Oryctolagus cuniculus: one gene and its partners. The protein of the gene in region 1 purifies or fractionates together with the protein of each later gene. This does not show direct contact. Links are inferred from orthologs where the notes say so. Each region holds a gene or a part of one and is shown on either strand. Other genes may lie near its edges. The genes, in order: USP25, KLHL9 and BTBD9.

Region 1 (3,651 bases):
AGATTCTGAATTCTTTTAGAAGTAACCAGAAGCTACAGACAACAGTGAGACCATAGCTATGTATAAATGCTGTATGTCACTCCCTCTACACACAAATGTGCTCTCTTGACAACCCTGTACCAATCACTCTATACCTATGCCAATTCCCTCCTTTTAGTAAGCTTTTGTGAAGCAGAGAGGTATCTGAATTTGTATTCTCTGCAAAAGGAGAAAAATTCAGCTACCATTCATTTTAGTGGAAACCTCAAAAGTAACATTTAGTCATATGCTAAAAGAAAAGTCCCATACTAGATTCATTTAATTTTATTTCTATTTTCAACACCATATATTACCTGTTGACAATGATATATGTGATTTTAAATACTAAGTCTTCTAAATCTAATTATAGATTATTATAATTATCATAGTTCTCAGATAAAAAACTCAGAAATAAACTATTTAGCCAAAATCTTTTAAAAAGACAAGATCTATTTCTAGACTTGTAAGTCATTCAAGGTAAATTTAAAATTAAAAACCTAAACAGTCACCAATCCCATGACTTCCCATAGTTATCTCATAATTTCATAAAAGTTAAAATACCTTTCTAATCTTTGCTGTAATACTGTAAGATAATCTTTAAGTCTCTTGATCTCGTCTCTCTTAATTCTTGTTATTTCTCTGTTTCTGTGCATGTATCTATTAGGAGAAAAACAATAAATATTAACATTTCCAAGGACCTTATAATTAGGGACAATATTAAAACTAGCTACCACTAAAAAAGACTAATCCAGTTGAAATTTTGTAAGATATCAGATAATATAAACTAGCATTTTTATAAGATTTATTTATTTATCTTAAAGGTAGAATTATGAGAGGGAAAGCCAGAGAGAAAGAGATCTTCCAAGCGCTAGTTCACTCCCCAGTTGGCCATAGCAGCCTCGGTTGCACTGACCCAGGCCAGAGCCAGGAGCCAGAAGCTTCTCCTAGGCACCTGGGCCAACCTCCACTGCCTTTCCCAGGCCACTAGCAGGCAGCTAGACTGGAAGTGGAGCAGCCACGAGTTGAACCAGTGCCATATGGCCGACAGCTTTACACACTCTGCCACAACACCAGCCCCAAAAGAGCGTTTATTTTAAAATTCAATCAGAATTTTCGGATTACAAAAATATTTTATTTCCATATAATATTATGCCAGTAATTATATTTTTCTAACACAAAAATAAACTATCTCTTTGACAAATAGTATTAGTTTAATACTTAGTAAAGATTAATAATAAAAAAGCAAAATTAAGCAGAATTATCCTCTAACTATAAAAATTCTTCACTTGCCTACTAATTTCAAAACCAAGTCATATAGTGTATCAAACCATACCTGTCCAGATATAAAACTTGGGGAAACTCTAATTTGTTGTGAATTTTTTCTGGTCTTCCCAAGGCCTGGTTAAATTCAAATCTTGACAATTCAAATGTTAACACAGGTGGTAGTTCAGTAAACCAATGCTAAAAGAAAATAGAATAAGAAAATAGTCTTAATACCACCTTTCTGTTTCCTCCATTTCAGTTTTATGCAGAGGATGCTGACCTGACAATATTTAAAAACTTTCATTTCTTTATTTTCATTTTATTTGAAAGGCAGATTTTAGAGATATAGAGAGGGAAAGAGAGCACCTATTCACCAGTTCTTCCTGAAGCCAGTTGCCAAAATTCCCTCTCAGTTTCCCATATAGGTAGCAGGGACACCGTGAGTATTTGAACTATCACCTGTTGCCCACCAAAGTGCATGTAAGCAAGAAGCCGCATTCCAATATGGGCGTAGGCATCCAAAACAGTAACTTTAACTGCTGCATCCAACACTTGCCCCTCAGGATACATTTTTACTTGCATCATCACAAGCTGACAATCCAAACACTGGGCACATAATTTGGACAGATGTCAACTGCTGGGGCAGGTGCTTAGCCTAGTGATTAATATGTAAGCACTGTGTCCCAGCTTTGACGCCTGACCCCAGCATCCTACCAATGCAGACCCCCAGGAGGCAGCAGGTGATGGTTCCGGTAAGGAAAGATGGAGTGAGTTCCTAACTCCTGACTTTAGCCTGGCCCAGCCCAGGATGTTATAGGTATTTGGAGAGTGACCCAGCAGACTGGAGATAACCTGTATTTCTTTCTCTTTGGCTCTCTGCCTTTCAAATAGATAAGACAAATAAAAAAAAATAATAGGTGTGTGTGTCATCTATTCTTTTTAAATTCATATTAAGAATTAAAATAATACCCTATATGGCAAAAAGAAAAGTTTTTTTCACACATATACAGTAAATTTTGAAGTAAAAACAGATCATAAAACTTAACCATTGGTTTGACAAAGATATTAAAACAAAGTTTTACAAAACTATAGTTGCAGCAATACTGCAACATTTCTTTTTTGTTTGTTTTTCAAATTTTCACTCCCACATACAAGGGTAAACATGCGGTAGTTGCCTTTCTGAGTCTGGCTTATTTCACTCAACATGATGTCTTCTAGTAGTGTCCATTTTGCTGCAAAAATTTCATTCTTTTTATACCTATTTGCTATTTATTTAACCATTCATCTGATGATGGACACCTTGGTTGATTCCAGATTTTGGCCATTGTGAACAGTGCTGCTCTAAACATGGTAGTGCAGGTCTTTCTTTGATGCCATGTGTTCAAGTAAAAAGAAAAAGTTTTGATGGCTTAGAAAAATACTGATCTTCATTTCACAATATTCAACTCAAGTATACTCCAAAAATTCTTACCTTTCTATTTTATTACAACACTTAAAAATGTCATCACTAAAATTAAATAGGTATTTTCATTCATTGGATTCTAAAATGGTCATGGGAAATGAAATGACTCAAATAGTGATCTACTTTAAGACAGCACAATCATAAAATGTTATGTAATAAGTTTGTTATGAATGTGTTTACTCCACCTGCAATGCTAAGATTTTCATACACAAGACTAGAAGGATTTCATTTTCTTATTCTAAAGCTGTTGTGGACTAGATGAGAAAACCAAGCAACCACTAATTTTTAAAAATATAAATGGTACATTTAACAGCTCTACAACATTAATATTGTGATTATAGCAGTATACATTTAAAATTAAAGAAACACAAGAAATTTTATTAAAAAAAACTTTGTCACTCAACAGAAAAACTGTATTTACATCTCTGTAATTTTATTGGAATGCTATGCTTGTGAGAAAGAGGTCATGAAAAGTCAAACTAACACTTTTCCTCATTACCTCTAAACACATTAATTTTATTGTATTGTATAATGAACCAATAGAAGGAACATATTTCTGCACTTGCTGAATAAAGAGCTTACATAATCAGTATTGGCAGCATTAGTGTTCCTGATTTTATCTACAAAATTAAGAGATTTAAAGTGTTGAATATATCTGATTTTTGCATAAAGATTATACAAATATGGAAAAAACACGCAGACTAAAAGTGAAAGGATGGAAAAAGATAGTACATACTAACTGAGAGCAAAAAAGGAGATAGTATAGCCATCTTAATATCAGACAAAATAGACTTCAACACAAAAACTGTTAGAAGAGACAGAGAAGGGCAGTATGTAATGATTAAGGGATCAATTCAACAGGAAAATGTAATTATAATAAATGTACATGCACCCAAATACAGGGCACC
Region 2 (3,751 bases), on another chromosome or scaffold:
AGCAGAGCCTAAATTTATTGGGAAAAAGCAAATTCTATGAATTCTGAACTTTGCTAAATAACATGTATAAGAGCAACTCTAAAGAAAATATACAAGCAGAAAAATGTAAGTTTCATCTGAAGTAACAATTTATAGTCAAATGACAAATACAGTTGTCAATTTAGAATGTTGTAGCCCTTATCTAAATTCAGTATGACTATACAGATATTTATTCTCTGATACTGAATTCCCACTTAAATAGCTGATTAATGGAAACAATTCAAATTTAAGAACAATGTCACTATGGTTAAAACAGTCCAATTAATTTTAAAATTATATATGTGTGTACCTATTTGTCTTATTATGCATATATTTTCTTTCACCCTTCCACTGTCTCCAGGGAGAGAAACCAAATGCTGACTTAGGGCTAAACTGGTTTCTCTGGTTAATATTTTTGTTATTTCTCCTATCTGCCTAAGACCTAAGAAACTTCACATACTCCATATGCAACCACAAAACCAAATGAGTTGACATGTGTGAAAAACTCTGAAAAGAGGGAGGTAGCTAATAATTGGTGACTTTTCATTTATTATTTTAGGTTACAGCAGACCTCCCCTTGATGTTTTTCAAAGATGAAAATTTTGAAGGATAATGCACACAATTACATTTACTACAGTCACCTACAATTTGACTTAATAACACCACAAAGAGACATCTAATTTAAACATTGTTCTGCATATCTCCTTTCATTTGTTAAAACAGCTATGTTGAATACACTTTCAGAATGCATTTGTTAGCCACCTGATAAACAAAGCCAAACAAGACAAATAATGTTACCTTTTTATCTCACAACTACCAACCATTGTGAAGAAGATACAACTGAAGGGGAAATAGGAGATCATCCATGAAGAACTGCCAAGATATAACACCTTAGATCTAAGAATGATCTGAAGGTGCTGAGAGTGGCGACTCTCTAGAAGGTGATCCAGGGTTTTCTTCAGGGGGAAAAACCGTGAGGGTACAAGCTCGGATGCCACCGAGTGACTCTGGAAGGTCAAAAACTTTATGCCACTCATCTTTTTCTGGATCATATTTCTGGACAATTTCTACCATACAACGATTATTCCAAGAATATCCACCAACAACGTAGATTTTATTTTCAAAGACAGCAACTCCAACATCACTTTGACCTCTTAACATGGCAGCAATTGGTGTCCACTGGTCAAGCGTTGGTGAATAGTATTCACAGCTTAGAACATCATCATAATCACTTGTTCCTCTGAAGTGATTGCCACCGATGACATAGAGCTTATCTCCAACTGTACACATGCAATGCAATCCTCTGACTGTAGTCATTGGGGCCTTCTGTGTCCATTTGTCTGTATCCGGGTCAAAACACATGAGCTCATTTTGGAAAGTGTCATGGGTAATTCCTCCTGAAATATACATTAAGCCTCCATACACTGTTCCAGCATGGCCATAATGGGGTTCACTCATTTTTGCAACATAGCTCCACTCATTCATTCGTGGGTTGTAACATTCTACTGTGGCCAGTTCACCAGCTGCACTGCGCCCTCCAACTGCATACAAATGTCCTTTGAGAGCACTCAAGTGGAAGAAAGTGCGCTTTTCATTTAATGATGCAACTTGCATCCATTTATTATATCGAGGATCAAATCTAAAAACTGTATCGACAGCAGTTTTTCCTTTTGTATCATAATTACTTTGACCACCAACCACATAAAGGAAGTTTCCAATGACAGCAATGCCATGCTGGTAACGAGGAGCATCCATGGGGGCTAAAGATCTCCACTCTTGTGCTCTTTCATCATACATCCTTAATTCTTTACTGACAACCAGCTGTTGCCTCAACACTCCCCCTAAGGTAACCAAGTGCGTAGAGTCAGACCGAATGGCAGTTCTGTCAGACTGCATCACTGGCTGCATATATGGCATCATTTGGTAGTTGCTAGCTTCCAAAAGCAAGTTCACACAGGTATTGTCTGTTCTCATGAAATCCACGGTCTGCACATAATTGATGAGGTCCTGTGGTGTCATCAGTGGAAATCGAATATTCTTCATTAATTTTGCAGCATAATCCATCCGAGGATCTTCCAACCTTAGCCATCGACAGGCAGCCTTGAATAGTTCAAGTTCAGTACAGTGCTTTAGACTATTACTGGAAAGCACAAAGGCAAGCCGTTCAAAAGGGAGTTTTAGAAACTCTCCAGTACTCAGTAAAGCAGGGAAGTTCTTCAAGATGAAATTATTAACATATTTATCCACTTCTATTAGATTGTAGGTGTTAGCAATTCGTCCAACCTCAACGCAGTTATCCAAAGAGACTCCTGATATAAGAAATACTTTACAGAAATCCAAAACGGGTAAGATTTGTAAGAAGCTAGCAGCTTCAAGAGTGTCCTGAAGATTGTCCATGTTAAGAGAAAGTTTTGCAGTATAAATAAAATCAATGATTTTCTTCAGACCAACCTTGTTCACCCCATGAAGCTTAATGCACATTAAATCTTGCTCTTTCATTCCACCTGTGAACATAGCCTTGAAATAATCACTAGCAGAAGCCATCATCGCTCTGTGAACAGGGAAGATTTCATCTCCATCGCCCGGTACCAGGGTCACATCACAAAGCAAACCTTCTATTCTAAGCTGATCAAAGCCTTGCAGTACCACCGAACTGTGAGTATTGCTGGTAAAAAACCGTGTGGTTCCCGTCTTGCAAGGTTGCAGATGGGCAGAGACGCCCATTTCGCCGTTACCGAGAGACACTTTCATGTGAAAGCCTCCCTCTTGTACAGATGTATGCCGAAGAAAGCAATTATAACCCGAATGTTTTTCAGGAAACAGAGATGTCCACAGAGCTCACTTCCCCTAGCAAGGACGAGCAGTCACCGTGGCGCCCCTCAGGACACACCAGTCAGTCGTCCACTGGAAACTCTCCAGCGGCAGGGCCACAAACGGCGGTGGACCTCAAATCTAATTATTAGGCTGGCGATTCATCACCTTAAGGCAGTTAAATGACCCGGTTCACCTCGTCTGGCCTGCGCTGCCGCTCCTTCAGCAGTTCCGCTCGCAGCCGAGGGGGAGGTGCCGCCACGTACTGAGGCTCCGCCGCTCACTCTGCGGCGCGACCGGGCTCCTCCGCGGGCGGCCGCCTGCGCCTTCCGCTGTCACTCGACCGTCGCCGCGGCCACCGGCCAGTTTTGCAGCAAGGGCCTGGAACACCGCCTGGCCTTGGGCCTGGGCCGGGAACACAGAATTAGCCACTGACGCCGAGCCGATCCTTCCGGAAAGGCCTAGTCCCAGGATCCCCCGGGCTAGGAGCGTCCGTGGGAACTACTGCGCCTGCGCAGCCGTCTGCCCTGATTGGTGGGCGGGCTTGCCGACGTGTCCGGGAGGGGGAGGAAGAGCGGGATGGGCGGGGCGTGCGGGGGTTGGAGAAGCCGAGCGGTCGCAGGTGGGTGGTAGCGGGGCGCGGGGGAGTCTCCGTGTGCGTGAGGCTGGGTAGGCCGGAAGGAGTACCCGTAAGTTACACGCGCATTTGGTGTAGATGAGTCTGGATTCTTCTTTAAGGTGTAGGCTCGCTGGCCGCTTCTAACAATGAAATAAGAACGATTTTTGTATAAATTGAGAGGCCGCCTGGCAAAGTAACCGTAGGGGGAGGATGCTTAAATGATCTTTCTCTATAAAACACTTCATAAATTTTACCCGGTATAATTTAACAGACACTTCAATGATTTGGGTTCATATTTGAAAT
Region 3 (3,751 bases), on another chromosome or scaffold:
AATGAAAGATGTAACAAAACCAAAGGTTGGGGGCCGGCACTGTGACATAGTAGGTTATGCCTCTGCCTGAGGCGCCAGCATCCCATATGGGCACTGGTTCTTGTTCCGGCTGCTCTTCTTGCAACCCAGCTCTCTGCTATGGCCTGGGAGAGCAGTGGAAGATGCTTGGGCCCCTGCACCATGTGGGAGACCTGGAAGAAACTTCTGGCTCCGTGGCTTCAGATCAGCTCCGCTCCAGCCACTGTGGCCATTTGAGGAGTGAACCAGTGGATGGAAGACTTTCTCTCTGTCTCTCCCTCTCTCTGTCTGTAACTCTACCTCTCAAATAAATATTTTTTAAAAAAGTTCAACATTCAGCAGCAGTATCTTTATTCAATTCTTTTTGTCAGCTTTTTAAAGATTTATTTATTTATGTGAAAGGCAGTGACACAGAGAGAGAGGGAGGGACAAAGAGAGAGATCTTCCATCCTACTGCTGCTTCACTACCCAAATCCTGGCCAAAGCCAGGAGCCAGGAACTCCACTCAGTTACCATGAAAGTAGCAGGGACACATGTACTTGGACCATCGTTTACTGCCTTTCCAGGAGCATTAGCAGGAAGCTGGATTGGAAGTGGGTGAGCCAGGCAGGACTCAACTGGCACTCCAATATGGCATGCCACCATTGCAAGCTGCAGCTTAACCTGCTGCACCACAACACCCAACCCTGGTAACATTTTTTAATTTCCTTCTTCAGGCAGACTCCTTTACCAAGTAATATTACTTGCATTTTTTTTTTACAGGACCAGGAATAACTACAAACCTCATAGTCTACTATAAAAAATAATCCCAGGCAAAACTGTGTCACTGAGCATGGCTAGATGACTACTTTCTATACATTTCAGTAAATTTCCAATAGAACGGCCCGAGCACATCAGGTCGATTTTAGAAACTGAGACACACATTGCTGACTACCACCCTTAGTGAGGCACTCATCCCAATTAGTAACTGAAATCGAAATTATGTAACAACCTGATTCTGTTTGAACCATAGTATCTTTTAAGTAAGGATAAAATTTACTCTTTATTACAATTAACAGAACTCCATGCCACCCTGCAAACAGATGCCTTGTTATCCGTGGGACACCTATAAGCCCGCCTTAGTCTTTAATGTTTTTCCTTCCCAGACTGCCAAACCTTATTTCTTTAATATTTCCCTTTGAGAGACCTGCTCCAGTCACCAGACCTGTAGACTCCTCAGTATATCCTCTGTCGACCAAATTCTCAGTAGGTGATTTCTTACCTCTTTTCTAATTCAAAATTTGCACTTCTTTCAAAGACTAGTTCAAATATTACCTCTTCCAAAGAGCTCCCTAACAGCCCGAATATCCCATCTTTTCTAAATTTCTACAGGACTGCAAAGTACTCGGGCAGCCCTCACATAGCACTAGTTTGCCTACTACCTCATTTGCTTTCACAATTCTTTCATAAACATAAAGATGCTTCCTTCTCCCAGGTAGACCGTGTGCTCTTGAAGGAAGAAGTCAGGCCTTCAGTCGTTCGTCACCCCCAAATCTTCTTGCCACATCTAGCCTAACAGTGGGAGTAAAAGGGGCCACTTCTGTAAGTACTCGCAGGTAATGAGCGGAACAGAAATGCGATCCGTGCAGAGAGCAACCACTATGCATAAATGATGCAACACAGTATCCCTCAGGTATCTGTTGCATACCCACTCTGCAGCAAGCACTTTTCCAGGTGCTGGAGACACACAAACCGGGAGGAAGAAAACACAGGCGATTCCTGTCCTATACCTCGTACAGTCCTGAGAGGGAGACTTTGCCTTGTGAGCGCTCTAAGTGTTACAGAAACAGGGCTGCTACCGGTCCCAGGACGGAAGAACCTCAGGCAACCCTCAGTTGTTGGACTGAATCACAGGATATTACAGCTGGATGAAAACTTAGAAGTTGTCCTCCTTAATTTCCTGGCAAAACTTCTGATTACGTTCCAGCGTGGTCTCTCTCTCCCCCCACCGGTTCTAAGCATTGCCCCAGGAAGAAGGAACTCCTAAGAGGCTGGCTTCCTGCCGGCCTCCGACACGCCTCTCCCTCCAAGACGGCAGGAACCAGGACCACCACGCGTCCTCCCGAGAAGGGAGCCGCTGCACGTCTACACTCGGGACTAACTCCCCCGTCCAACACCGCGCAGCCCACACGCTGAACTCCCTCTTGTCTCCACGTCCTGGGCAAGCAACAAGCAAAAAACAGGGCTTCCACACTTCCCTGGCCCTGTCAATGACAAAATCCCAACACGGTTCTGGAAGATGTAACAACACAAAGTAAGCAGAGAGGGGGGCGGGCAGCCCTTCGGCCTCCAACGTGACAGGTGCCGAGGAAGCCCGCGCACGTACATGTGAGGCCGGACACCGCCCGCAACAGGTCAGCCGCCCGCCGGCTACACTCGCGGGGGGCCTTCCCCGGGTCGCCATGGGTGTGTCTGAGGCCGCACGCAGGCACTGATTCACAACTCTCTCCATGACAACCGGCTCCGACTCTGAGCCCGGCCGCGGCGGGGGCGACGAGGGCCCGGCGGTCCCAAACTTTCCGAACCCCAGCCCCGGGGTCCCCGGTTCCGCCTCCTCCCGGTCTCAGGCTGCCGCGTCCGACACAGACTGCGGGGCGGCTGAGAGAACTCGGGCTTCCCTTCAGTCTTCTGTTTGGGAGCCCCCCACCCCCAGTTACCTCCTTCCCACCTCCCTTTCCAGGACTCCCGCCTCCCCGAGCGCCGGGGCCCAGAAACTGACCCTCGTCAGCCCCCGTCCCCAGCCCTTCCCCGCCCCCCGGAAAAAAGCGGCGGAGGGGCGTGGAGCGGCGCGCGCGGGTACGGTGGGGGCGCGCGCCCCCGGGCCCGCGCAGCAGGTGCGGCCAGGCCCCACCTCCCCTACGAGGCCCCGGCTACTCACCCCAACGATGTTCCTCAGCGACCTAGCCGCCCGCACAGACGCCTCTTCCGCCTGCTGCACGCGCGCCTCGTAGCCACCGCCCCCTCGGCCGCTGCCGTCGCCGCCGTCCTCGCCGCCGCCGCCGCCGCCGCGGCGCGCGCCCGCTCTCACGCACAGCGCCGTGGCCGCGCACGCGCCTCTGCGCGCTGGCGTCACTTAGCAACCGATCGACCGCGGGCCGGCGAGTCCCAGGGTTTAGGGCCCCGGGGAGAACTTGGGCGGGTTCCGCCGCTTTCCCCCCTCAGCGGCCCGACCTGCTGGCCCTCCCGAGCAAGGGCCCAGGGCGTGGCTGCCCTTCCCGCACCTGGCTGCGGGAGAGTCGCGTCAGCCCACGTCACTGTATGGCGTCACCGGGCACGTCACTGCGGATGGCAAGGTCCGGGCGCCTGTGGTGGCGAGAGCGGTGGCCTCGTCCAGACTGGCGCGGGCCGGATGGGCAGCTTCTGCCGGGTGCAGGATGGGTCTGGGTGCGCGGTTGTCGAGGGCTGCTGGGGGCGTGACGAACCGAGCCATGCTCGTCCAGTCTACACTGGAAAGTTGCGAAGCTAAAGCAGATTAATATGGGAAAAGACGCTTTGTAAAGCGTAACGCCCACCAGACTTGACAGTGTCTTTCTCTTACAAGAAGGCCGTGGGGCGAGAGCAATGAGGAACACATTGGAACAATGGCGTTAGTGAATCTGGGTGCAAATGCGACTCTGGGTGATGTTGGCAAGTCCGTCCCCCTAGGGCCTTGGGCAAGCTGGGGCACCGGGGTGCGGGAGTGGGGGCGAAGCTG

Evidence for each region.
Region 2: the proteins of USP25 (region 1) and KLHL9 purify together in Homo sapiens (affinity purification with mass spectrometry; 3 studies listed by BioGRID and IntAct, with this or other methods). This does not show direct contact. The link is inferred for Oryctolagus cuniculus from reciprocal best matches to the Homo sapiens genes USP25 and KLHL9.
Region 3: the proteins of USP25 (region 1) and BTBD9 purify together in Homo sapiens (affinity purification with mass spectrometry; 3 studies listed by BioGRID and IntAct, counting the BioPlex papers as one, with this or other methods). This does not show direct contact. The link is inferred for Oryctolagus cuniculus from reciprocal best matches to the Homo sapiens genes USP25 and BTBD9.

The regions. Positions count from the first base shown.
Region 1 is NC_091435.1:31,201,879-31,205,529, forward strand, and holds part of USP25 (ubiquitin carboxyl-terminal hydrolase 25), read right to left. Parts: intron 1,480-3,651; coding exon 1,352-1,479; intron 676-1,351; coding exon 580-675; intron 1-579. UniProt on the Homo sapiens protein: Deubiquitinating enzyme that hydrolyzes ubiquitin moieties conjugated to substrates and thus, functions in various biological processes including inflammation and immune response.
Region 2 is NC_091432.1:184,421,565-184,425,315, reverse strand, and holds the start of KLHL9 (kelch-like protein 9), read right to left. Parts: upstream 2,770-3,751; coding exon 916-2,769; 3' UTR 1-915.
Region 3 is NC_091436.1:131,095,099-131,098,849, reverse strand, and holds the start of BTBD9 (BTB/POZ domain-containing protein 9), read right to left. Parts: upstream 2,601-3,751; 5' UTR 2,565-2,600; coding exon of another isoform or gene 2,510-2,564; coding exon 2,384-2,509; intron 1-2,383. Other genes in the region: translation initiation factor IF-2, read left to right, coding at 2,508-2,564, 2,663-3,523.